6 linked regions of the Oryctolagus cuniculus genome follow. The protein of the gene in region 5 interacts with the protein of the main gene of each other region in a pairwise test. Links are inferred from orthologs where the notes say so. Each region holds a gene or a part of one and is shown on either strand. Other genes may lie near its edges. The genes, in order: GCC1, heterogeneous nuclear ribonucleoprotein F, MAPK1IP1L, RBM47, C7H1orf94 and RAD51D.

What was found.
Region 1: the proteins of C7H1orf94 (region 5) and GCC1 interact in binary tests that used the Homo sapiens proteins (3 or more experiments, as listed by UniProt). The two-hybrid records come from large-scale screens. The link is inferred for Oryctolagus cuniculus from reciprocal best matches to the Homo sapiens genes C1orf94 and GCC1.
Region 2: the proteins of C7H1orf94 (region 5) and heterogeneous nuclear ribonucleoprotein F interact in binary tests that used the Homo sapiens proteins (3 or more experiments, as listed by UniProt). The two-hybrid records come from large-scale screens. The link is inferred for Oryctolagus cuniculus from reciprocal best matches to the Homo sapiens genes C1orf94 and HNRNPF.
Region 3: the proteins of C7H1orf94 (region 5) and MAPK1IP1L interact in binary tests that used the Homo sapiens proteins (3 or more experiments, as listed by UniProt). The two-hybrid records come from large-scale screens. The link is inferred for Oryctolagus cuniculus from reciprocal best matches to the Homo sapiens genes C1orf94 and MAPK1IP1L.
Region 4: the proteins of C7H1orf94 (region 5) and RBM47 interact in binary tests that used the Homo sapiens proteins (3 or more experiments, as listed by UniProt). The two-hybrid records come from large-scale screens. The link is inferred for Oryctolagus cuniculus from reciprocal best matches to the Homo sapiens genes C1orf94 and RBM47.
Region 6: the proteins of C7H1orf94 (region 5) and RAD51D interact in binary tests that used the Homo sapiens proteins (3 or more experiments, as listed by UniProt). The two-hybrid records come from large-scale screens. The link is inferred for Oryctolagus cuniculus from reciprocal best matches to the Homo sapiens genes C1orf94 and RAD51D.

What each region holds. Positions count from the first base shown.
Region 1 is NC_091434.1:164,051,311-164,055,384, forward strand, and holds the start of GCC1 (GRIP and coiled-coil domain-containing protein 1), read right to left. Parts: upstream 2,801-4,074; coding exon 1,769-2,800; intron 935-1,768; coding exon 1-934. UniProt on the Homo sapiens protein: Probably involved in maintaining Golgi structure.
Region 2 is NC_091446.1:59,592,951-59,597,224, forward strand, and holds the start of heterogeneous nuclear ribonucleoprotein F, read right to left. Parts: upstream 2,801-4,274; 5' UTR 1,632-2,800; coding exon 384-1,631; 3' UTR 1-383.
Region 3 is NC_091443.1:21,429,867-21,433,922, forward strand, and holds the start of MAPK1IP1L (MAPK-interacting and spindle-stabilizing protein-like), read right to left. Parts: upstream 2,801-4,056; 5' UTR 2,663-2,800; intron 1-2,662.
Region 4 is NC_091433.1:34,409,173-34,413,449, forward strand, and holds the start of RBM47 (RNA-binding protein 47), read right to left. Parts: upstream 2,801-4,277; 5' UTR 2,589-2,800; intron 1-2,588. UniProt on the Homo sapiens protein: Single-stranded RNA-binding protein that functions in a variety of RNA processes, including alternative splicing, RNA stabilization, and RNA editing. Functions as an enzyme-substrate adapter for the cytidine deaminase APOBEC1.
Region 5 is NC_091438.1:138,422,954-138,426,453, forward strand, and holds part of C7H1orf94 (uncharacterized protein C1orf94 homolog), read right to left. Parts: intron 2,785-3,500; coding exon 2,609-2,784; intron 1-2,608.
Region 6 is NC_091448.1:39,164,661-39,168,591, reverse strand, and holds the start of RAD51D (DNA repair protein RAD51 homolog 4), read right to left. Parts: upstream 2,801-3,931; 5' UTR 2,472-2,800; coding exon 2,390-2,471; intron 2,191-2,389; coding exon 2,129-2,190; intron 1,922-2,128; coding exon 1,803-1,921; intron 1-1,802. Other genes in the region: FNDC8 (fibronectin type III domain-containing protein 8), read left to right, coding at 3,760-3,931. UniProt on the Homo sapiens protein: Involved in the homologous recombination repair (HRR) pathway of double-stranded DNA breaks arising during DNA replication or induced by DNA-damaging agents. Bind to single-stranded DNA (ssDNA) and has DNA-dependent ATPase activity.

The sequences.
Region 1 (4,074 bases), on a different chromosome or scaffold from region 5:
ACAGGAAGAACGTGGGCTCGTTGCCCGCAGCAAGCTGCAGTGCTTGGGTCAGGCTATCTGGGGCAGACGGGTCGGCCGGGTCCCCTGGAGCCCCGGCCCCCACCGGGCTTCTGCGCCCTGGCAGCCCAGAAGACAAGGCCACGGCGCGCAGCTGCTCCAGCTCCAGGTCCTTCTCGGCGAGCACGGCCAGGGCCCGGTCCCGCTGCTTGTGCAGCTCCTCCTCCAGTTTCAGCGTGCGGTCCCTGAAGTCCAGCCGGCTGCGCTCCAGCTCGTGCCGGTGCAGCTGCTGCAGCCGGGCCAGCTCCTGCTTCCAGGCCTCTGCCTCCCCCTGGTGCTGCCGCTCCAGCTCCTCACACGACAGCCGCAGGGAGATGTACTTCTCCTTCAGCTCGGCAAGCTGCTCCTGGGCGGCCTCCAGCTCCTTCGCCACGTTGCCATCTTTGGCATTCTTGCTCTTGAGGACAACCTGGGCCCTCATCTTATACCGTTCGAATTCTTCCTTCAGCTGCTTCAGCTCCTGCTGGTAGTAGAGCGCAGAAGCCTTCTCCCCATCAGTGGCGTCTGAGCTGCCCACCGTGTCCAGGTCACAGAGCTTCTCCACATCCAGGGTCACCTGGCTCTTCCTGGCGGCCACCTGCAGCAGTCTCTTCAGCTTCTCCATCTTATCCCTGAGGACGTTGACGTCCAGGCTGGACTCCTCCCCATGGCTGTCTAGAGGGGACCGGCTGGAGGCTGCCAGGGCCAGGGTCTTGTTCTCCAGGTCCAGCTGCAGAACGCGCTCCTTCAGCTTCTGGATGGCCAGCTGGTCCTTCTGCTTTGCCTTCTCGTACGTGCCCAGCAGCTCAGACACCTCAGATATCTGATTCTCCAGGGACGCCACCCTCTGCTCTTCCACCTGAGACTGCTGGCGGAGCTGATCTTCCGCAAGGGCTGTCTGCCAAAGACAAGACCAGAATACGGTCAGAAAAGTCACAAAGCCCCATGGCAAACTTTGTGTGCGTGTGTCCGGGGAGGAGGGCGACCGAGGGGAGCGTTTGGGGATTTTTCCGTTGATGCAGGATCCAACAGAAGTTCCTCTACCTGCTTGGGTTCTGCCCCCAAATACATATCATCTCAAACGATATGAAGCACCTCTGCACACCTGCTGTCACTCTGCTTTAGCGCTTCCACTTTCTCCTATCAGCTCACACCCAGCTTTGCTGTCTATCATATGTCACCTCACCCCGAACCCTATCATGAAATTACAGGACTTTGCTTTTCTCTTTCTCTATTCCTGGAAGTACAAAACTGAGTTGGATCTCCCTCCACCTGGACAGCAGACACTGTCATGACAGACAAACCTTGACAGAAAGCAATTACCATGGTTTATTTCTTCTGGGAAAATCCCTCTAGCTGCCTTCAGCTACCCTGCCCATGGGTACACAGCTACAGGCACACACTCGCTCTTTCACTGCACAGCGGCCGCTCGATGGCAGCTCGGAGAGCAGCTGGTACAGTGCCAACGCCCAGCAGCTCAGAGGGGCCTGGCTCCGACCCAGCCTAGGCTCGGAAACTCCACATCCTGTTGCAAGCACACTCCCAGGAGCTGGTCAACACCACCGCAGGAAAGGCTTTTCCAGGGCTCCCTGGTGCAACTTTTCAAGTAGCAGCAAAAATGACAGTGCAGCCACTTAGTTCTAAGTACCAAAGGAGGAGGGAAAAACAAAACCCCTCTTATCTCGCACTTCAAGCGAAATGACGGATATGTGAAGGAGATGAGGATAATTACCTTTCTCATTTCCTGCTGCAGCTGAGCCTGGAAATGGCTCTTGAGGCGAGCGGCCTCTTCCTGAAGCTCTTGGAGCCGGGGGTCCGGTCGATTCTTCTCCTCTCGGATGGCCTGCAGTTCACCTTTCAGCTCCTCCACCTGCCGGCTCAGCTGCTTGGTCTGCAGTTCGAAGCCTTCCATCTGCTCGGCTGCATAGGCCCGCCCGGCCAGGGCTTCCCGCGTCTCTTCCAGCCGAAGCTCCAGGTCCTGACGCTGGGTCCTCTCCTCCTGCAGCAGCTTCTGGAGCTCCCGGAGCATCAGGGCATGGTCACTCTGCTCCTGGGCCCTATCATGCTGCTGCGTGATCAGCCGGGCTTTGGTTTCGGCTATCTGCTCCTGCAGCCCCTTCAATTCTCCCTCCAGGCGGCCCCTCTCCTCTTCCGCCTTCTTATTGGCATCCTCTAGGTCCTGTTTCATCTTCTTCTTGTCGGCCAGGTAAGAAGCCTCCATGCGGGACTTCTCCTGGGTGACTGTAGCCAAAGAGCTGGTCAAAGTAGCCAGCTGAGTCTTCAGCTGGTGCAACCTCTTGTCCACCTCCCCACCTGCAAACGGCCCATCCCCACTGCTGCTGCTAACGCCGCTCTCCGACCCACTGGCCTCTTCCGACTTCGCAGGCGGTGGTCCGCGGGCCGGTCTGTCATCTTCTACCCCAAACTCACCCTTGATGCTGCTCAGACTGGCCGCAGTGTCCAGGCTGGTGGCGGTGCCGGTGCTATCCTCGCTGTGAGTGGAGCACCGGTCATCCACAGAGTCAGAGAAGGTGAGGCCTGGAGGCTGGACACCTGCGAGGCCCACATCCGCCTCGTGGGATACCGACAGCACCTTGATGCTGGCCTCCAGCGCCTCCTTCTCCTTCAGCAAGCTTTTGTAGGCGCGGACCACGTCCTTGAGCCTGGCCTGGTACTGGAGGAGCTGCTTCTTCTGAGACTCGATGGTTTCCAGCAGGTCCTTCTTGCTCGGGCCGCCCCCAAAATTCATCCCAAACTTCTCCATGGGGGCTGTGACCGAGCTGCTCCACGTCAGCGTTCCAGCAGTCCAGGAGAGCGACGCGACTACGCGGGCGGAGCCAGCAGGCGACGAGGAAAAGGTTGTCCCGCCGCGGCCGCACAGCTGCTCCACAGAGGTGTCCAAGCCCGGATGCGGGGTGGCGGGGCCGCCGGACAGAGGCCAGGGGGGCGGGAGCGGGTCCGCTCCTGGAGGCGGGGCGACGCTGGCGCGACAGGAGCTCCCGGCCTGGGAGCGCCCGCGCTAGCCTCGAAGCTGCTCCGCCCTCTCCGCTCCTCCGGGCCTCATCGGCCCGGCCCCGGCCGGCCCCCTCGGCCCACAGTTGGCTACAGGTTTACGCCGCGGGTGGCTCCATCTCGACTTCTTAACTACCGCAACCGGCCGACCACAGAGCTTCCGGGTCCGCAGGAAGTGACGCCAGCGCGTCGCCCTAGGCTCCGCCCCTACCGGCCGCGAGGTGGGCGGGGCTCCTTTAACTGGGGCTGCGGAGAAGTGCTGCCGGGAACCTCGGGGGCCGGGGCTTGCGGAGAGCGAAGGAAAGGAAGTTGAGGACCAGCGAGCGCAGTTGGTTTGCCCTTGGGCTGCGATCCGCGACCGACAGGGGGCGACGTTGCACTGCATTCTTAACAAACACTCCAGTGACCCATGCGTCCAGCCACAAGGACTTGGGGCTCAGGACCTGTGTCCCTAAAGGCCAACAATAAATGTTCCCATTAGGGCTATGAACACTGCAGCCCTTCCTAACACGGCACTTGGCACCTAGCTGGCTTATGGAATGCACATGGCACCTTACCATAGTTCCGTTGAGTTTAGTCAACGAATATTGATAGAGGACACCTTGCCGCCATGAGGTTCATCCTGAATGCGAACTATACGCCGGGAACCTCACAAGAAAATTGTTATTTAGGGGCGGGCATTGGGGCACAGAAGCTTAAGCGGACGCTTGGGATACCCGCATCCACTATGTGAGTGCAGGTTGAGTCCCCGCTTCTTCGCTTACCACCCAGTTTCCTGCTAATGCCCTTCTGGGAGGCAGCAGAAGGTAGCCCAGGTCGCTGGGTCCCTGAGACCTGGGTAAGAGTTCCTGGCTCCTGGCTTTGGTCTGACTGGTTCCTGGCTGTTGCAGGCATTTGGGGAGTGAAGCAGCAGATGGAAAAATCTTTCCCTTCTCTGTCTCTCCCTCTAGGTCACTTTGCCTTTCGAAGGAAGGAAGGCAGGAAGCAGGATTTTGCTATTTATTCTCCTGTGCAGATACATTAGCA
Region 2 (4,274 bases), on a different chromosome or scaffold from region 5:
ATGTTTCTCTTTGAATTAGGGATCTAGCACCTTTGAGTTTTCCAAAAAAGTACATCTCCCCAAGGTGTTCACTGTGGTGTGGTGTAAAAGATCCACAATTTAACATACTTAAACTACTTTAACTCAGATAACATCACTCGGAAGGATACTACTAAAATGTTAATCGAGAAAAGCGGAAAATAGTTTTAGTTTACTCAATATCACATGCTAGAAGAAAAGTTTGCATGAGAAAACATTGAAGAGGTAATTTTTTAATCCAGATTTCACAAACTCATGGTGCAAAATGGGTCCCACAGCTTCCTCTAGGGTAATAACTGCTTTTTCACTGCTTGCTGGCTGCCTCTGAAAATTTGATTGAAATTAACTCAAATGCTTCTACAAAACTAATCATATCCACCCATGCTGTTCTGACCACTATAGCCAGCGCCATAACAACCGCTCACTGACTGGCTCTCCAGGCCACTGTAGGTGGCCTGAGCCGCAGACACCCCCATGCCCTGCATCACCTGGCTGCTGTAGGCCCCGTTGCTGGCCCCTGTGGTGGAATTCAAGAAGAGTTCTATGTATCTGTGCTGCATATTGGCCCTATCTTTCGACATCGCTGCCCCAGCTTCTTCATGGGTGGCAAACTCCACATCAGCTTCGCCCGTCACTCTTCCATCTGGGCCGATCTCAATATGCACTCTCACCGCGTTAAGTGGAGAGAAGAAGTTGTAGATGTCGTTCTCGGTCGCTTTGTATGGCAGCCCTCTCATGTGGACGCAGTGGCCGGTGGTGCTCTGCACTGCGAACTCGCTGTCTCCGTATCTGTGGTCGTACATTCCTGAGAGGCAGTAGCTGAGGTCTCTTCCGAACAGATCAGTGGTGAAGCCGTAGCCATCGCTGAGGCCACTGTACTCCTCATAGCCCCCGTAGCCAGCGCTGCAGGCACCAGGCCGCATTCTCTCCAAGCCTGCCTGCTTCACAATGCCAATATACCTCCGGGCTGTGCCAGGCCTGTCATAGGGCCCGGGTCGCTGAACAGACATGAACTTCAGAGGAGGATCTGAGTATGACCTCACTTCTTCCTGACTGCTCTTAAATACCTCAATATATCTGTGCCCTATTCTCTCCTTGTGCTTCCCTAGCGCCTTCTCTGCTAGCTCCTGAGAGGCAAACTGCACGAAGGCCTCCCCTGTAATCTTGCCCTCGGGGTCCACAGGCAAAGTGATCCCGTTTGGCACGATTTCCAACCCTGAGAAAAACTGAACAATTTCTTCCTTTGTGCATCCAAACGGGAGTCCTCGAAGCCGCACGAAACCATCATTAGCGGTGTCAGCGCTGTTTGGACCACTGTGCTTCAACACCCAATCCATCTCGGTTCTGTGAGACTTGAACACCTCAATGTACCAGTGCCCCATGCTTTCCCTGTCTTTTTTCAGGGCCATTTTGACATCATCTTCTGATTCAAGTTCGACAAATGCCTCACCACTCTGCCTGCCTTCTCTAGTGTAGATAAAATGAACGCCTGCGGCCCCATCATGAATCGTGCAGTCGGACAGGAAGTTCTGCACGTCCTCAATAGAGCAGGACCAGGGCAGGCCACGGAGCTTGACCACAAAGCCTTCACCTCCCTCGGGACCCAGCATCATGGACACTTGACAGGATAGATGTCAGACAAACTTGGGTGCAAGTTGTCTTTTTATGGCTTAGAGTATCGCCAAGGATACCTTCAGTAGGAGACACCTCTGGTAGGTAACCAACTGTCCACTGAGGAGAGCTGGCCTGGTTTCTATTTGCAAGAGCGGCTTCCAGCGAAGGACCCCAGATCCCACCCGAGCTTAGACGCGCAGAGGGCTCCAGGCAAACTCCAGGTGCATCTTTTTGTTCTTAACCTTCTTCAGGAAGACGCGGCGCAATCCTGCTTCCACGACGGAATAAATCATTTTTAAAAATGAAAGATGTTGACACACTCAACTTCATTTATTAACCTGTTATAAGCCTATGAACTCATCTACACATTTTTTTTTTTTTTTTGACAGGCAGAGTGGATAGTGAGAGAGAGAGACAGAGAGAAAGGTCTTCCTTTGCCGTTGGTTCACCCTCCAATGGCCGCCGCGGCTGGCGCGCTGCGGCCAGCGCACCACGCTGATCCGATGGCAGGAGCCAGGAGCCAGTGCTTTTCCTGGTCTCCCATGGGGTGCAGGGCCCAAGCACTTGGGCCATCCTCCACTGCACTCCCTGGCCACAGCAGAGAGCTGGCCTGGAAGAGGGGCAACCGGGACAGAATCCGGCGCCCCGCCCGGGACTAGAACCTGGTGTGCCAGCGCCGCCAGGCGGAGGATTAGCCTAGTGAGCCGCGGTGCCGGCTCATCTACACATTTCTGAAAGCTATTTATAGTTAAAGCTATTCTAACTTTTATAGTACTAAGTTCCAAAAGTGTTATTTTTCTCTTGTTGTCTTGAGCAAGTTATTTAAATTTAATGGGCCACAGTTTCCTCCTCTGTAAGATAGGAATCATAATCATAATGCTATAATGAGGACTGAATTAAAGGAGATACACCAAAACAGTACTTGGCACATTGTAAAATATTCAATAAAGGTTAACTATAATTTTTATTGCAGCAGGTAGAACTCTGCATTTATTTGATCTGCAAATATCCCCCTGCTTCATTTGAACAACGTGATGTGTGTGAATTGCCTACTGTCGCTCCCCGTCTTCGTGGAGGAACGACACAGGACCCTGCGCTGTTCTTTCGTCTGCTCGGCCCTCCCCGGGTTTGCTGCTGGTTCTTCCCGGGTTGGCTACCGACCCTTCCACCTCCGTGGAAGGGCGGTTCCCCCTGCCACTTTCCCCACTTCAGCGGGGGAGCGGCACACCGCCGGCCGGCCGGCTCTCTCGGGGGCTGCTCAGGTGTTCCTTCAGATAGATGTTCCTGGTGCATGTTGTCTCTCTCCTCCTTTATAGTCCTCTTCCACCAATCCCAACTCTGCTACCCACACGCCGAGTACGCTGCTCTCCTCCAATCAGGAGCAGGTCCTACAGTTTATTGGTTGAACTGGAGGCAGCTGTGTAGAAGCTGTTTCCCTTCTCAGCGCCATATTGTGGGAGAGCAGATGCATAGAATAAGTCTTAATTCCAGTAACTTAGTCTAGTCCGAGTTGCTCCCAGTTGCTCCCCACACCTACCACTGTGCCTAACTCAGAGGGCATTAAATTAAAATGGTATTTAATAAGCTGGTTATGTTCTTTATATATATATATATAGTTACCTCCTGATTACGTAGGTATCCATTTCACCTTACAAAAGCCATTCATTTGGTCCTATCTCAACAAGTCAAGTCTGAAACAGGACCTTTCATACTCATTTCTGGTCTACAGAATTAACTAGTGTCTGTATCACGTGTGATAAAAATGATCTCATAAAAGTTCAGAAATTTTTCTAAGGTTATTCACCAAATAACTAAGTCACAAGAGTTAAAAAGTATTGAATTATTTTTATAGTAGTAAAATGATAAAAAGATGAAAGTACAATGGAAGGCCTACTCTAAATGTTAAAGTAAGTGATAGTGATTATGAGTGAAATGCAAAGAAAGGCTTAGCTCAGCAAGTAGAATAAATTATTTTGACAAGCAGGTCAATCAAATAAGGTCATCAGTTGTCAAATGGCGTACTATAATCATCAGGTACCTTTATGAAAACAGATGTATTTATAGACAAAAATTAAGGTCCTTTTTAAAGCAAGAAATACAAGAGATTTCAAGAATTTGCAACCTTTTCATCTGGACACTATTAATGACTTCATCAAACTAAACAAATACAGAAAGTTTAATAAAAAGATGTTAATGAAATTTTCTACTAAAACTATGATATGGACTTGTTTGGTAAAATAAAGCAAGCTGCATATATTGCTATTTTTGTATCCTCCTAGTTGAAATATATTATTCACTCATTTAAACCTATGTATACATTTTCATAATAGATCACCCTAGACATCACAACTGAACCATAAACATTCACTATTTATCCTGGATCACAAGGAGCTGGCAAAGTAGCATTCATTTACAAACTAAGGTAAACTTCGAAACATTGTAAGCTTGAAGATTTCTTACACAAATTATTTATAAGTATATATTTATCATATAGTATCCATATAATTATGCTATGTTTTATTCATATGTATATGGGGCACAATAATTTAAATGGTCAAAAGCTTGTAAGTTTCTCCTAGTCACTTTGTTATCAGTAAGCCATCTTCTGTTACTCAGTTTTCCAGCGGCTCTAAGACTCACTT
Region 3 (4,056 bases), on a different chromosome or scaffold from region 5:
TACGATGAGCCCAACGTAATCCTGAACTTAAAAAATGGATTTTAATCAAGAAATGGTTTTATTTTTTTCATAAACCTACTACTTCCAAAATTTCCATTACCATTTTATTGCAAAATCTACCCATCATCTGAAAAATTTATTATTTTCTGAACAGCAAGAAGAGCAATTTCAAAACAGTAAAAATTTCTTCTGACATACCATAAAAAAGTGAAACATAACTAGTAATCCTAAGGCACTTAGAGTAAAAATGATACTTCAATCAGGGAGTTTAAGCAACTTGAACTCCATAAATTACTAGTGACTAATGACAAGCAGTACTTCAGAATGTCATCAAATTATGATAGAAAGAAAAACTGTATTAGAATACAATTATGAAACATGGACATCAATCATATTAACTGAGTCTTTTGAAAAGGCAAGGTTGTTGACAAGAAATCATTTCCACACCTTTAAAAGTTGTAACACTGGGGCTGGTGCTGGGCTGTAGTGGGTAAAGCCATTGCCTACAGTGCCGGCATCCCATATGGGCACCGGTTCAAGTCCTGGCTGCTCCACTTCCGATCCAGCTCTCTGCTATGGCCTGTGAAAGCAGATGGCCCAAGTCCTTGGGCCCCTGTACCCGTGAGGGAGACCAGGAAGAAGCTCCTGGCTCTTGACTTTGGATCGGCCCAGCTCTGGCCATTGTAGCCTTTTGGGGACTAAAACAAGGAAGACCTCCCTCTCTCAAACTCTGCCTTTCAAATAATAAATAAATAAATCTTTTTAAAAAAGTTAGAATACTTAGCTACCTTACAGGTAATTAAAAGTAACAATTATCTGTAAGATGCTATACCTAAGATGTTTATTAAAAGATACAACAGATCTCTGTCTCTCCCTCTCTGTAACTCTGCCTCTCAAATAAATAAATCTTTAAAAAATACTATACATTCTGAATAAGGATATATACTTTTTAGTAAAGGATCATTTATCAGATTATGTGCCATTTTTTAAATTTTGGGGCAGTTCCAAAAATTAGAGTTTTGAAAGTTTGAACATTGGAAATATATTTCACTTGGATTCAGAAACTTATTGGCACAACTGTACCAGGCACTGTTGGCTTTGTGAAAGTCAGTGGAGTCGCGTGACAATCAATTCCTGAGAAGTGGTCTCTGCCGTCCAGAAGAATGAGGAAAACGGCTGGGAGAGGCGGGTGGAGGACTGGTTTTAGGGAGAGGAGGGCAGTGTGTGAGAAGCTGGGAGGCGACAGAATCAGTGGGCAGGATCGAGCCAGCCTTGGACCAGTGTGTTTGAGTCGTTTCACCTTGATCAGTCACCTGAATGAGTTGTGGATTCTCTGGACAGAACCACAGCTCCTCACTGGCTGGCTGGACTCTCGACAGGCCAATCTCTCCAAGGCAGACATAGCAGGAGCCTCACCGTTTTGCTCGGAGGGATAAACAAATCCTGTAGTCACTCCCTGGTATACAGCAAACACTCAACACAAGCGCGCTTTTACAACCAGCCCCACAGGTGCATAAGCCTGTCCGTCTTTTTCAAATCACAAACCTCTGAAAATGAAACTCCCAGGTTTGGCACAAAACTTTTTTGGCGGCCACATCTGACCGGAGGCTATTTATGGTTTCTATTCATTCAGATGAGCATTCCCCCCCACGGCCGCACAAATTTTCCCCACGCCGTTATGTCTGTGCGTGTAATGACACGGTCTTTCTGAAATCGATGAAATCCAAAGATTCTGAATTCTGCAAAACATCTGTTCCAAAAAGGCGGGCTGGGCGTTACCCACTGCTTCTGGAGAAAGAGAAAGAACATTCCCCCCCGCACACAGCTCAGCGCACAAGTCTCCGAGGCAAGTCAGGTTTACACGGCGGGGTTTCAGAGACACCCAAGGCAAGAAATTTCTATTCCTCCTGCGACCAGAACGCGACTGAACAAAGAACCCCCGAGCGACTCGGGACGGCCACCTCCGCCTGCGATGAGGGCTCGGGGGACGAGAGGCGACGGTATCGTGCCCGGCCTGGACTCTGTGTCTAGGAAAAGCACCACCAGCGCTGTGCACTGTACAGAGGAAATCGGTTTAGTCCGTGGAAACCCCCACGCATAACTCGCGCTCCTCCACGAGTGTCCCGCACCGCAGCGCCTCGAGAGTGGAAGCCGCGGGCCCCGGCCCCGCGCGGGTCCTCCTCACGACCGACGCAGGCCTCGCGCTCCCTTCTTCACCGAACGTGAATGCATGGGGGTGGGGGTCAGGCCGGGGAGGAGCAGGCTAACAGACCCTCGGGGCCGAACGAACAAAGGGAGTGCGGGATCAACCGGAGCGAACCGGCCTCCGAGCGGGTCTCGCCCGCCAGGGACGGTGGGGGAGGGGCGGGCCCGCTCCCGCCCCGCCCCCGGCCCAGCCTGACGTCAAACGGAGAAAATCCCGTCGGGCGCGGCGTCCGTGTCCCCCGACCCCGTCTCCGCCGGGGGTCGCACACCCCGCGGCGCAGGCGGAGGTGGCCGAGGCGCGCGCTCCGTCTCGGCCGCCGGCGGGAGGCCACGGCCCGCGCGCCGACGGAGACGGCAGGCAGCCCCGCTACCGCGCCCGCCTCCCGCTGCCTGGGCCCGCCACCTCAGCTCCCCGTCGCCCGTCTCCACGAGCCCTCCCGCTCCGAAGCAGCCTCACCTTGGCAAGATCTGAGCCCCCAGCAGGGTCTGGAAACGACGATGGAGCCGAGGGACCTGAGCGCTGAGGAACCGAGGTCAGCCCGACTGACGGCAGCGACGGCGGCGGCACCAGCAGAGCGCGAGGCTCCTCCTGGCGCCGGAAGAGGAAGCGCGCGCGCCGCCCCCGCCCGCGTCCCCCGCCCCCGGCGTCCAGCGTCCGGCGTCCGGCGGGGCGCGCCCCCTGCAGGCCGCCGATGGCACTGAGCGGGAGCGCACCGCGGGAAAGCAGGCGCCGCCGCCTGGGATTTTCCAGGCAGCGCGGCGGGAATCGCTCCCACAATGCAGTCTCCATTCCCTCAGTTCAGCGGGTTTCAGTCAGGCCTGGCACTCACCTTGGAGGGAAGCAAACCGCAGCCTGACCCGGGACCCAGAACTTAAGACCAACCTTGGGGAGAACTCTGATGAATGCGTGAAGTGGAAGATGTTTCCAAGTGGCTTGACACACTGATATTTGCTGTCCTAGCAGATTTTTTATTTGAAAGACAGTGATAAAGGGAAAGAGAGCTCTTCCACCCACTGGTTCACTCCGCCCGGGTCTCCCACGTTGGTGGCAGTCCGCTGCCTTCCCAGGGACATTGGTAGGGAGCTGGCTGGGTGGCAGGACAGCTGGGGCTGGAACCAGCGCTCATATGGGATGGCGACGTCGCAGGTAGTGCCTTAACTTGCTGAGCTACACCACAAGCCCCTGCAGATTTTTCTTGAACAATGTCTCTTCTCACACTCAGATACTTAGGCCAGATGACTGACACGTGGCCCCAGCCATTAAAGAACCTATGTCACACTATGTCATGGTATCTATACAAACACACATATTATGTATACACTTATAGTATGTGTATGTATGTATGTAAACTAAAAGTTTGCAGTACTTACACTTTTGCTTCTTTACGTGAAAGCAGTTAGTGGGCCAGTGGGAAGACATGTGACATTCCCACTTCTTACAGACAGACATCCATGGATATGCTCCACCACACAGTTCTCACACTGATAAAGGAGCAATAGAGGAGCTTCAGTACTTAAGCCCAGGGGAGGCATAGTTTTGCACAAAACCACAGGTCTGTGGAAAATAGCATTACTTGTGTGGAGAACCTACCAGGACCTCTTAGGAGGCACAGTCAGCAGTGCCTTCTGGAGCTATTTTGGGGTTTGAGGGAAACATCAGTGATTAAATTCCTGTCTTGATTTAAAATTTAGGTATTTTGTTGATTGTAGACTTTCTATACACTCATACATTGCTTGAAAATATTATGTTCCTTATGAAGTCTTTTAGTCAAAAAACCTTTTGTGCCCAAGTGGAATACCTCACCCTTCTCACCCTAGTCCTGGCTCTGTGCATCAAAGGGAGGGACAGCC
Region 4 (4,277 bases), on a different chromosome or scaffold from region 5:
TCTTCCAGATCCTTTCCAGCCCTTGTTAATAGTTAAAAGGGGAAGAATTTTTTCCTTATATGCCAACACTTTTGACACCAAGTGGATTTTTCCACACCAAGCAATTCTTCAATTCTCTGTGGACACCAACTGGGTTTCCTACAATTTAACTGAGTTCTGACACCAACTCAACTCAATCTCTGACCCTTATCGTGTCCCCAGAGGCTGGGTGGTAGGGATGGAAGTTCCAACTCTGTAATCACATGACCGGTTCCCTTGGCAACCAGCCTCCCTCCCTAGGGACTCTCCAGAGTCACCTCATTAACATAAACTCAGGTGAGGTTTACAGGAAAACGAGACTTCCTTCACCTTGTCACTTAGAAAATCATGGGCGTTCTAGAAGCTGTGGTAGGAACGGCATAAAGACCTAACATATATTTCTTACTCTATCACAGTATCGCATTGGTTTTGATTCATTTTCCATCTGTTTCCCATCTTTAGGATATAGAGGGCAGGAATTGCATTGTTTACTGTAGTATCCCCAGCATACAGCGTATGCTCAGAAAATATTTACTGAACCAACAACTTTGTAGTCTTGAGTCTTTCCTCAGCAAACAACAGGTTGATCCAGACCTGGTAGGGAGAGAGATTAAGGGCTGGAAAGTACCAGAATATCTGGTCAACCTGGCTCCTCCCCAGCCACTGCTGGGGACTGAGAGCTGACCTCAAATGGACCTCAAAGAAATTTTGTTTTATCTGGAGGCCTACAATGGGTTGAAGGACTTGCCCTAAATTACACACTCAGTTTACATTTAACACAGGGCTAAAACCAATATTTCCTGATTCTCTACAAACCGAGTTCTAACTTCAAAGAATCTTAGCGCAGGAAGAAATCCTCCAGCCCCTCCCAACAGGACTCCATTATCTCCAATGAAAGATAAGACATCTGGAGCCAAGTGAAATCAATGACTTCTCCAAGGTCGCATGACCACCGAGAGGCAAGGACAGGCTTTATTCTTATACACAGTGTCTCATTGTAATCTTTATTCTGGTTTTTGTACAATGATGCAAGTAACTTTCCTTACTGAACTGATTAGCGCATGCTATGGGGGAGGGGAAGAGACGGATTAGGAATGGGGTGACAATTTGTCAGGAGTGACAAATTATTTAAACAGATGCAAGGCTTTTGTTCTGGATTCATGAATTCATTTGGTGACTCTCTGAGTCCTTACTCTGTGCCATGAATTTTTCTGTACCCTAGGGATACAGCAATGAATAAACCAAGCATCCCAGCTCCCTCTTAGATATTACATTCTAGTTCAGGAGAGGCAACAACAAGTGTGTGTGTGTGTGTGTGTGCGTGTGCATGCACGCGCACACACACGCTATTTATTTAGAGAGACAGAGAGATCTTCTAATCTTGCATCCACTGGTTCAATCCATAAATGCTTTCACTAGCCAGGGCTGGGCCAGGCCAAAGCCAAGAGCCCAGAACTCAATGCAAATTTCCCACATGGGGGGGTGGCAGGGACCCAAGTACTTGAGCCATCACCTGCTGCCTCCAGGGTGCACACCGGCCCCCAGGAAACTGTGCGGGAAGTGGGGCCAGGACTCCCCTATGGGATGCAGGCATTCCATGTGATGACAATTCTGCACCACATACCCACCCTGCATAAATAGATATATTTCTAAATGTCAGGCATACCAGGTTGTCACGGGGTGGGGGGTGGGGGTGAGGGCGGGACAAAGCAGGGAAAGGAGAGTGGCCTGTGGTGGGGGAAGACACTCCAGCGGACAGACCGCTGAGGGAGGGAAGCGCAGGAGTTAGAACGCTCCATCCATACCAGGAGGAGCAGAGGGGAAGGGGCCCCCAGGCAGGCTCGGCAGTGCTGGAGGAGTGGCGTGAACGCAGAGGAGAGGAGGAAGGTCGCCTAGGGCAGCCGGGGCCACCTCCTAAAGGGAACTGCTCTTGGAGGCTCCTCCTCCTCCAACTGGGGCGCCTTCAGGAAGCCGACAGTTCCGCGGCCCGGCCCTGGAGAGCTGCGTTTGCGCGTGGGCTTCAGCGGTTAACAAGGCCGCACATGCCTCTTCCCCTAACTGCGTCTTGCTGTGAGAATGTTAATCTGGCTAAATCCATTCAGCTTCACCGGTTTGGAAACCGGTCACCTGGTGCTCACCGTGAAAGGGGGCGTGGAGCCAGCGACGGCGGCCACGCCCACGCGACAGGATCTCCGCAGAAACCCAGGCCATTGTTCAGCCAGTAGTTTCATGTTGGTTTCTAAAAATAAGTAAGTGTCTGAGTCATCCTTTTCTCAGCCAGAGAGAGCTTTATTCCTTGTTCATCTCGAGCTCCTGGCTGGTGAACTCAATACTTAACAGCCCCGTGGGTGGGTCTGCCTGCCTACGTCCAACCTTGCCCTAACCACATTCGTGAGACGGGCTTTACCCAATGGCCTTCAGTCCTCTGAGCCTTCAGTCCCCTCCTCTGGGGCAGGAGAGCACTAATGCTGCATTTGTTCTCCGGGGCTGGGTAACAAGGCAGCCCGTGAGAACAATACCCACCCGTGTCCCACCACCTGCACGCAGCGCACGGGTCCCGCGCAGCCTACCTGCGCTCTCTGCTCAGTCTCCCCAGACTGGAAACGAGGTGCCGGGCAGCTGCGTGCGCACCTAGAACCGCGGCTCGTCTCCTAAGTTCCTTCTGCTTATGGGCAGAATCCAGGTCCTTGAAGTTGTAGAAGTGAGGTCCCCGCTCCTTGCTGGCTCTCCGCAGGGGGCCTCTCTCAGCTCTCTAAGGCTCCAACATTTTTTTCTTAAGGTCCCTTCAACGATAGGCCAGTCCTCCTCACACTTCCATGTCCCGATCTCTGTTCTCAGTGGGAGAAAGCACTCTGTTCTTTCTTAGGGCTTGTGTGATTAGATTAGCTCCACCCAGATAATCAGACTTTCTGAGGGTCAGCTGAGCTGTAGGACATATTATCATCACCACAGTGAAACCTCATCATACTGCTTTCAGAGATGAGGCTGGGACATTTTAAAAATTTTGCCTATAGGGGCCGGTGCTGTGGCATAGCAGGTAAAGCCGCTGCCTGCAGTACCAGCATCCCATATGGGCGCCGGTTCGAGCCTGATCCAGCTCTCTGCTATGGCCTGGGAAAGCAGTAGAGGATGGCCCAAGTCCTTGGGCCCCTGCACCCATGTGGGAGACTGGGAAGAAGCTCCTGGCTTCAGATTGGCGCAGCACCAGCCATTGCAGCCATCTGAGGAGTGAACCAGTGGATGGAAGACTCTCTCTCTCTCTCTGCCTCTCCTTTTCTCCCCATGTAACTCTTTCAAGTAAATAAATAATTATTTTTAAAAAAGTAAAATAAAAATTTTGTCTATAACAAATACCGTCCTCCCAGAACTTTCTGGAAAACTAGATAATCAATCTATGTAAAATAACCATCAATTTAGTAGTTACTATTTATTACACAGGGTCCTATCAGTACAGAGAGCAGATGAGAATCCAAGCTACTCGGGAATCAAGTAGAAGACCAGACCCCAAAATGTCTATGGCAAATACCTATTATCTTTCTTATATTTGTGGATGTTAAAATAGCATTTCCCGGGCCAGTGCTGTGGTGCAGTGGGCTAAGCCTCAGCCTGTGGTGCTGGCATCCTATATGGGCACCAGTTCTAGTCCCAGCTGCTCCTGTTCTGATCCAGCTCTCTGCTATGGCCTGGAAAAGCAGACGGCCCAAGTGCTTGGGCCCTTGTACCCACATCAGAGACTCGGAAGAAACTTCTGGCTCCTGGCTTTGGATTGGCTCAGCTCCGGCTGTTGTGGCCATTTGAGTAGTGAACCATTGATGGAAGACTTTTCTCTGTCTCCCCTCATCTCTGTCTGTAACTCTACCATTCAAATGAATAAATAAGTAAATAAAAATGGCATTTCCCACATGAGAATTACCCTGTTTTTACTGGAGCATTGACTTGATGACTGATTTTTATGTACTTTAAAGGTAGATACAGAGAGAAAGATCTCTTCTACCTGTGGGTTCACTCCCCATATGCTCGCAGAAGCCAGGAACTGGGAAAAGATGGGATGGCAGGGACCCAACTATCTGAGCCATCACCCCGCTGCTTCCCCAGGTGCACACTAGCAGAGACCAGGGATTAGGAAGAGCCAGGACTCTAAACCCAGAAACTCCAATACCCCGTGAAGAGTCATAATCACCATGCCAAAAACCTGCCTCTGGAAGTGCTGTACGTCCCAGCTTACAAGAAAAGGTTGAGTGCTTCGGCTGTCTTCTGAA
Region 5 (3,500 bases):
GCTCTGGGTAAATTGGATCTGGGACCTCATGTCTACTCCCAGTGCCAAGCAGGGGAGAGACCAGGATAAGCCAGTCCCCGTTTCCCCTCTCTGTCCTCTCAGGGCCTGCAGAGCTCCTGACCCCATTCCCTTGGACGACCAGGGCTGCATAATAATAAAAGCCAACATCTGCATCACACGTGAGATTTGCAGCGCCCTTCGCCAGCCGCGGACTCCAGGACTCCGTGCACCCATATCCGTGCTGTGCTGGTGCTGCTGTTACTGCCGTGATGATGATGATGATGAACCCATTTCACAAGCAGGGAAACCCGGACTCAGAGTGGCCAACCAGCTTGTCCAAGGCCACAGAGCTTAGATGCAGCAGAACCTTGAATCTCAAGGTTACTGATTTCCAAACCTGCCTTCTTGCTATTATTTCAGGCCCTGAGCAGCTGTCTCGCAGCTAGATAAGCATGACGAGACCGTGAGAAGCTGGGAGGAGGTAAATGATGCTGCCTTTTGTCCCCACCTGGAAGGGTCACCTCCTTCTCTCATGACTTCAGCTGGGCCTGCTCAGCCCCAAAAGGCCCTTCCACCACCTCGCCCGGAAATGGGGGAACCTCAGGGGAACTGGCCCTGCCCTATGAACGCCAGCATCTCTGAAGACAGAGGAAATCTCAGGCATTCAAAAAGTCAAGTGCAATGAAATTAACATAACAAAGAGACACTACCCCACTTAATAAAGCAAACCGTGGCAAATTAGCTTTACGTGGTGAGCTCTGGGAGTGCATTTTAGAGCGAATTCGTTTACACTAAATAAAATTATGGGATTGTCTGTCTAGTGGAAGCAGAGGGGCCCGGCTGCTCTGCGGTGGAGCCCCGAACTTGGGTTAGACTCTGAGCCTCATAGCCCTCTCTGCATCCTCTCCCCTAGCCCCACAGCCGGCCCATAGGGACTGCGGAAGGAAGGCTTTCAGAATCAGTGAAATGAATGAGGAAATGAAGAAAGAGGAATGAGCAGGTCAGGGAGTAGGGGAGTGAGTGACCAGGGAGTGAACAAGCCCCAGGATGCAAGGGGAGAAGTGGCAAGAGTGAAGGAGTCGCTGCACTAAGGACCGGAACCCGAGTGCTATTTAGTCCCCAGACCTGTGTGGGCAGACTGCATTAGCAACATGAAACGGATACTTAGTTTCCCCTGAGATTGCTTTTATCTACAACCTCTCCTTCCCATGGTGGGCCTGAGGCTTTTCCCAAGGGCAAAAGTGGGCACTTGTTTCCTTCAGCAAACAAATAAATGAAAGGCTTGGAAGGGAGGGAAGAGAAGGAGAGAGATAGAGATAGAGATAGAGAGAGAGAGAGAGAGAGAGAGAGAGAGAGGCTTTGCTAAATTCTTGAATATTCCATGGCTAAGCCTGGTAGACCAGCTCCGAGCATCATGATGGAGTAGACGGTCCCCTTCTGCCTAGCACATGGAAGCCATAGGCTCATCTGCTCTGTGACAGAGGAAGAGGAAATGACACCGGGCTCGGGGAGGGGTTCAGATGGGACCCAGAGGAAGGCAGGCAGCTGCAGGTGTATTTCCTTCTCCCCTTGCCCTTTCCAGGCTTTGCCGGACCAGACTGGGGCTGCAGATGGCCAAGGTCATGGACCGTGGACATACAAACTAAGGTCCTGGATGCATTGGGCAAGCAGCCAGGCTGGGGAAGGGGGATGGGACAGAAGGTTGAGAAATCTTAGATGCTGAGCAGCTTTCCTGAAAAAAAAACACGGAGCACTACCTAAAGGGACTGCTTAAGTTATTGGATTGGACAAAGGTTGAAACCAGAGTGGACGTTTATTTGATTTTTCCCTCCTTCTACCAAGTGGGCGGCAGCTCTTAAGGGATATTAAGTTAAATGGACAAAATAAAGAAACTACATTTTCCCTGCATAAATGAGTTCTGTGAGTAGAATTTCCAATGCTGCTACAAGTGTTTCACCACCTCTGTGTGTCTGGCCACTAATTCTCTTCTTGCTATGAGCCCAAGATCGAGAGTGTGTGCCAAGCCACCTCAGCTGGTACAAAGTTCAGACAGCTTGCATGTGGTCAAATAGTTTGTCATCCAAACCAGAGCATGTGAGAGTGAAAGGGGATGGCTTTAATCACTATTCTCTGGCCAAAGACCCAGACTGTCCCAAATAATCCAGGCTGCCCCTTACCTAACTTTAAAGAAAGTCACAGAAGCTGATGGACAGGACTATGACACCATCTTACCCTGGGGACCCAAGCACTTACCCAGCCACGACCAGCAAAGCACCTCTGGAACAAATGGCACAGTGAAGCAGATTCCAGGCAGTGGAAAAGAACTCTGTGTGTATGTGTGTGTGTGTGTGCGTGTGCGTGTGTGTTTACCAAGCGGTAGGTCTGATGCAGCCATAAAAAGCAAATATAACTAATAAGTTGACAAGTTGATAGTGCCCTGCTGTAGACCCCATGGAGTCTCACGATTGGAGGGATGGCCTTTAAGGGAAGTCCAAGGGCTCTTTGTGAAACAGGGTCCCAGCAAGCCCTACCCACCCACTCCCCCGCCCCTGGCATAGCCAGAGCCACTGTGGATGGCCACAGCGAGTGTCACGGCCTGCCCACTCACCTGGTACTGTGAGAAGGTAGAGTGATTGGGGAACACTGGTGGAGGTGGGTAGTTCAGGTTGAGCCAGAGTGGCTGGTTCAGGGTGGCTGAGGTCAAGGCTGTGGCGAAGCGTGGGTTGAAAACGTTCCCTGTGTACTTGATGTTGTTCTTGTCGGCAGCCGTGACAGGTGGGTTCACTGTAAGTCACAGGAAGGGGAGAGCATGTCAGTGGTGGAGGCAGAGGCCTGCAGCACCAGGACGGCCCCAGGGCCAGGCCTGTGAAGCCTGGAGAGGGCTCTTCAAAGCCCTGCTGAGTTTCCAACTCTAGGAAGACTCCCCTGGGTCATGCCTTACGCATTTGGAAGAGAGAGAAATCCCGGAAGGTCTAGATTGGAGTTTCCATCATTCATTAGTGAAGGAGAAAGTTTAGCAAGGGAATAAAATGGATGTCATTTCTAGAGCTATGTTTCACTTACAAAACCAAATCCTTTCAAAAGCTTCAGAAAAAGCCAGCATTTTATAAACAACTGCTACGCCATTGGAATTCATTCTTATCGCATCATGAAAGCAGCCCCTCCATGGGACATATACTTTGTAAAACTGAGAATCTTGCACACGTTGTTATCCATAGGGGAATAATTTTTAAAATATTTTAAGACACTAATTTAGGGCAGAGTGACTCAAAGTCAGTCTAGATGAATGGGATAAGGTTGAGTTGTTTCAGGATGTGAATCCAGAATTCTCCCTCTCTAAAAGCTATTCTGCAGGCTGATCGGATCAGAAAAGGATCTTTGGTTTCCCCAGTCTTGGCATCACTTTTGGGAAGGGAAATTTGACTGAAATAGTTGGACAAAGGCTAGGAAGAAGGAGAGATATGAATAATCTGATTACATAGAAATAATATAAAGCATGG
Region 6 (3,931 bases), on a different chromosome or scaffold from region 5:
CAGGCAGGCAGGCAGGAGCACATCACGATGAAGGCTGGGAACCTGAGGAGTCATCTTTGATTCCTCCCACCTGGCGGTACAGCTTCTCCTATTTCTCATTCAACACATCTCCCACCACCACCCGCCCTGGATCCGACTCACACAGCACCCCCACCCCCGCCTAGCAGTCCCTCCCTGGCCTCTCTCCGCCGCCCGTGCACTCTGCACACCTCTACTCCACTGCCTGTGCCTCTGCTCCCAGCTGCAGGCAGGCAAGGCGGAGGGGCGCTCTCAGAGGCGGGGCGTGTGCCAGGGCTGCTGCTCACTAGCCGCCCCCTCCTCAGCAAGTCGTTTCTTCACCTCCCAAGTGACGACCTTAGCGATAACACGCTCACGGGTGGCTGTGAAGTAACGAAACGACACACTGAGCACAGTGCCCGGCTCCCAGCAAGCTTCGGTGAGAGCCCATCTGTTGCTCCGTGCCCAAGGCCTGCCTCCTCTGGAGCCCTCCTGAACCACTCTGGCTGGCCTACCCTGCAGGGCCGGAGCCAGCTGCAGTCCTGCAGGGCAGCACTTGATTGCTCTCTGCATGTGTGGCGGTTTTATCAGCTCCCTAAGCCCGAGGCCAGTCCACTTCCTGTTAATCACTCCCTCCTGGATGCTGCCACCTCTATGCACTCACTCCTCCTATGTTCGCCGGCTTTTCTCCTATACCCAGTGGACACCAGTCTCCTCAAGGCCTCCCGGGCATATATACCATCTGTATGCACCTGCACCCAGGAGGCAGGCACTCAGCCAGTGCCTGATGGATCACAAACCGGGACCCCAGCAGCAGCGGCAGGCACCATGCTGTATGAATCTTGCCAAGAGAATGTTATGGAAACAGCAAAGGCTAAACCAACCCAAAGACATCAAACTCTGCACAAATAGGCCAGGAAGGAGGCCGCACTCATTTGGCCAGAAAATGCCTGTTGTCTTCCAACTCTTTCCCTCCCCAGCCGATCAGGGCAGGAGGCAGCTGCTCCTTTCTGTTAAGTCCTCTTGTTCTCTACTACTGCAGAGAGTGGAGAAAGGAACCAAGTTCTGGTTCAAATACACCTGGGCTTTGAGCCTCACCTCTGCTACTCCTCTGGGGCCAAACTCAAGTGGAGTTCATGCCTCTATCTGTGGGGTCCCTGATGAGATCACTTATAACCCTATGGTCAATAGATGCGAGTGTAGGCACTCAGCAAATGCTAGCCCTTGGGGCTGGCGCTGTGGTGTAGAAGATAAAGCTGCTGCCTGCAGTGCTGGCATCCCATATGGGCGCCAGTTCAAGCCCCGGCTGCTCCTCTTCCAATCCAGCTCCCTGCTATGACCTGGGAAAGCAGTAGAAGGTGGCCCAAGTCCTTGGGCCCCTGCACCTGCATGGGAGACTCGGAAGAAGCTCCAGGCTTCTGGCTTTGGATCGGCCCAGCTCTGGCCACTGGGGCATTCTGGGGAGTGAACCAGCGTATGGAACACTTCTCTCTATCTCTCCCTCTGTCTCTCTGTAACTTTCTGCCTTTCAAATAAATTAAAAAAAAATTTTTTTTTAAAGTGCTGTCCTTAAGTGAAATGGGAGGCAGGACCACAGAAGAGATAGTCCAATGTGCTGAGTAACAAGGAGACACTGACATCTTGTAGATCTCAGCAAGGGGTGATGTCGGGGTGGGGTGGGGTCCACCATCATAGCTCAGGACGGTCCCCATCTCCCACACAGCCACAGTGCTTCCAAGGACCTGCTCTCTCCAGCCTCCCTCATCAAGGGCTGAGCTGAGAGGCAGCTTCAGTCACATACGAACCTCCTGATGCCCGTGGACAGGATGGCGGTGGAGCTCTTGAGTTCCTCGTAGAGATCAGAGCCATTGATGGGGAAAGCCGAGAATTGAGCCAGCAACACCCGCCGCAGGGCGACCAGGGCCTGCCAAGGTGGGGGGGGGGGGGTGTCAGCTCAGGCTCCAGAGCAGCTCAGACTGGCTGGCCACTGAGAGGGACAACCGGGAACTCAACCATCCCTGGGCCTCACCAGCTCCCCTCGTCCATCTCGGGCTAGCCTCTGCTCCCTTGCCCTGGGCAGGGGCGAGGAAGCCCACCCAGGCTCGCAGCGCGGAGCTCCTCCTGAGCTCACCTTGTAAGACAAGCCAGACTTCTGGGCCACCTCCTCCAGGTCTGCGGAGGCCAGGTCCACCACTGAAAACAAAACACCTGTAGCTGACGGGCAGCGAGGGGGCCAGGGGCTTCCCAAGGGCCGGTGCGACACCGCTCCCCAGAGTTTGGCGTCCCCGCCCCCCGCCCCATGCCCGAGGCTGCGCGGAAAGGCGCGTGTGGCGGGCGAGGGGTGGCCCCGCGGCTTCCCGGCACGAACGCACGCCCGCCGGCCCGCCGTCACCTGTCCTGATCCCGCGGCTCCGCAGAAGCTGGACCATCTCCGGGCTGAGGCCTGGGCACAGGCCGACCCTGAGCACGCCCATGCTCCCCGCCAGCGCGGGACAGAGCGTCCCTGCAGAGCCCCCTTCAGACGCCCCTCGCACGCCTCGGTGCAGCGGGTCCTGACGCACTGCTGGCGGGAGGAAGGGGCTAGGAGCCGCGCCGAGCGGCGGGTAGCAGGAGGGGGCTGACCACCCGCCCCTCCGGCGCCCAGGGCCCGCCCGCCTCCGGCCGCTTCCGGGTTCCAGGCTCGCGCGCGCGGCGTGGGCCAGGCCCGCAGCGCCACCTGCTGGCCACACAGGGCGAGCCGCCGCAGCCTCGCGCCCGCGGGTCCTACGGGCCCCGCGATCCGCGATCCGTGAGCCGCCGCCTGGCGCCGCGCCAGCCCGATCCGGTTCCTGCGCGCCCACCCCGCGCCCACGGCCGCCCTAGGACAAAAATGTTAAACTCCTGGACAATCCTCTACCCTCTGGGAGCTGATGAGTCGGGGAGAGACAGGCAATGAAAAGGACTCAAAGCAATCTGACCGGTACGGATCCTAGGATAAGCACGCAGGGGGCACCTACTTCTCTGTCTCGAAACCTTGGAGCATATGGAACACGCGCACACGCACGTGCGATTCGGTGAAGCGTGAAAATGACTTTACCGAGCGCTCTGACAAACCTAGAGGGAGGCGCTATTCGTATCCCTGTTCCGAGCGGCCTCCCCTGGGAGCTGTGAGCACCCGGGAGCCATCACCCGACCCAGTGGGGTTTGCCGCCTACAGTTTGAGGACAGAGAGCAGCAGCCTCCGCAGCCAGCGTCGCCCGCACTCAGAGACTCTGCCCGGAACCGCCAGCCTCCCCAGCCCCAGGCACCTCCCTCCCCGCCCAGGCGCCTTTTTCATCCTCTATCTCCTTGCAGGGCAGCGCAGAGAGGCACAGGTGTCGAGTGTTCCGAGGTCTTCAGAGGCAGGCGTCTGGGGACACTATGGGGATGATGGCTCCGATGACGGGGTCCCTGCCGCTCATGGGAGAAACCCAGATGGAGTTCTGAGCTCCTGGCCTCGGCCTGGCCCAGCCCTGGCTGTTGTGGGCATTGGTAGAGCCTGAGGGATGCTGTGGTTTGTGCCTGGTTCCACCCTACCTGTGGCTCTGGCCCTTTGGCCCAGCCAGCACCCCAGGGAGCCTCAAACCCAGGGCCAGGCTGGCCCCTGATTGTTACAGCTGATGATGATTGTGAAGTCAGCCCATTGCACCCCCTCCGGTGTGTCTGCTGGCCCCGCAGTTTCTCTCTGCTTCCTGCCAGCTCGGTGGTCCTGCATGGTGACGGCTGTGGTCCCAAACCAACCAGATGGCATCAAACGCACTCTGTAAAGTGGGAGATGGGGAGGAGGCCGTGCTGAAGAAGGAAAACCTCAACCTCGTGAGTGCACTCGACCAGCTGCCGAAGCCCTTTCTGAACCCCAAGTCCATGAACCGCACCGTCACTACCAAAGGACTCCCACTTTCCTCAAGAGGCAGCT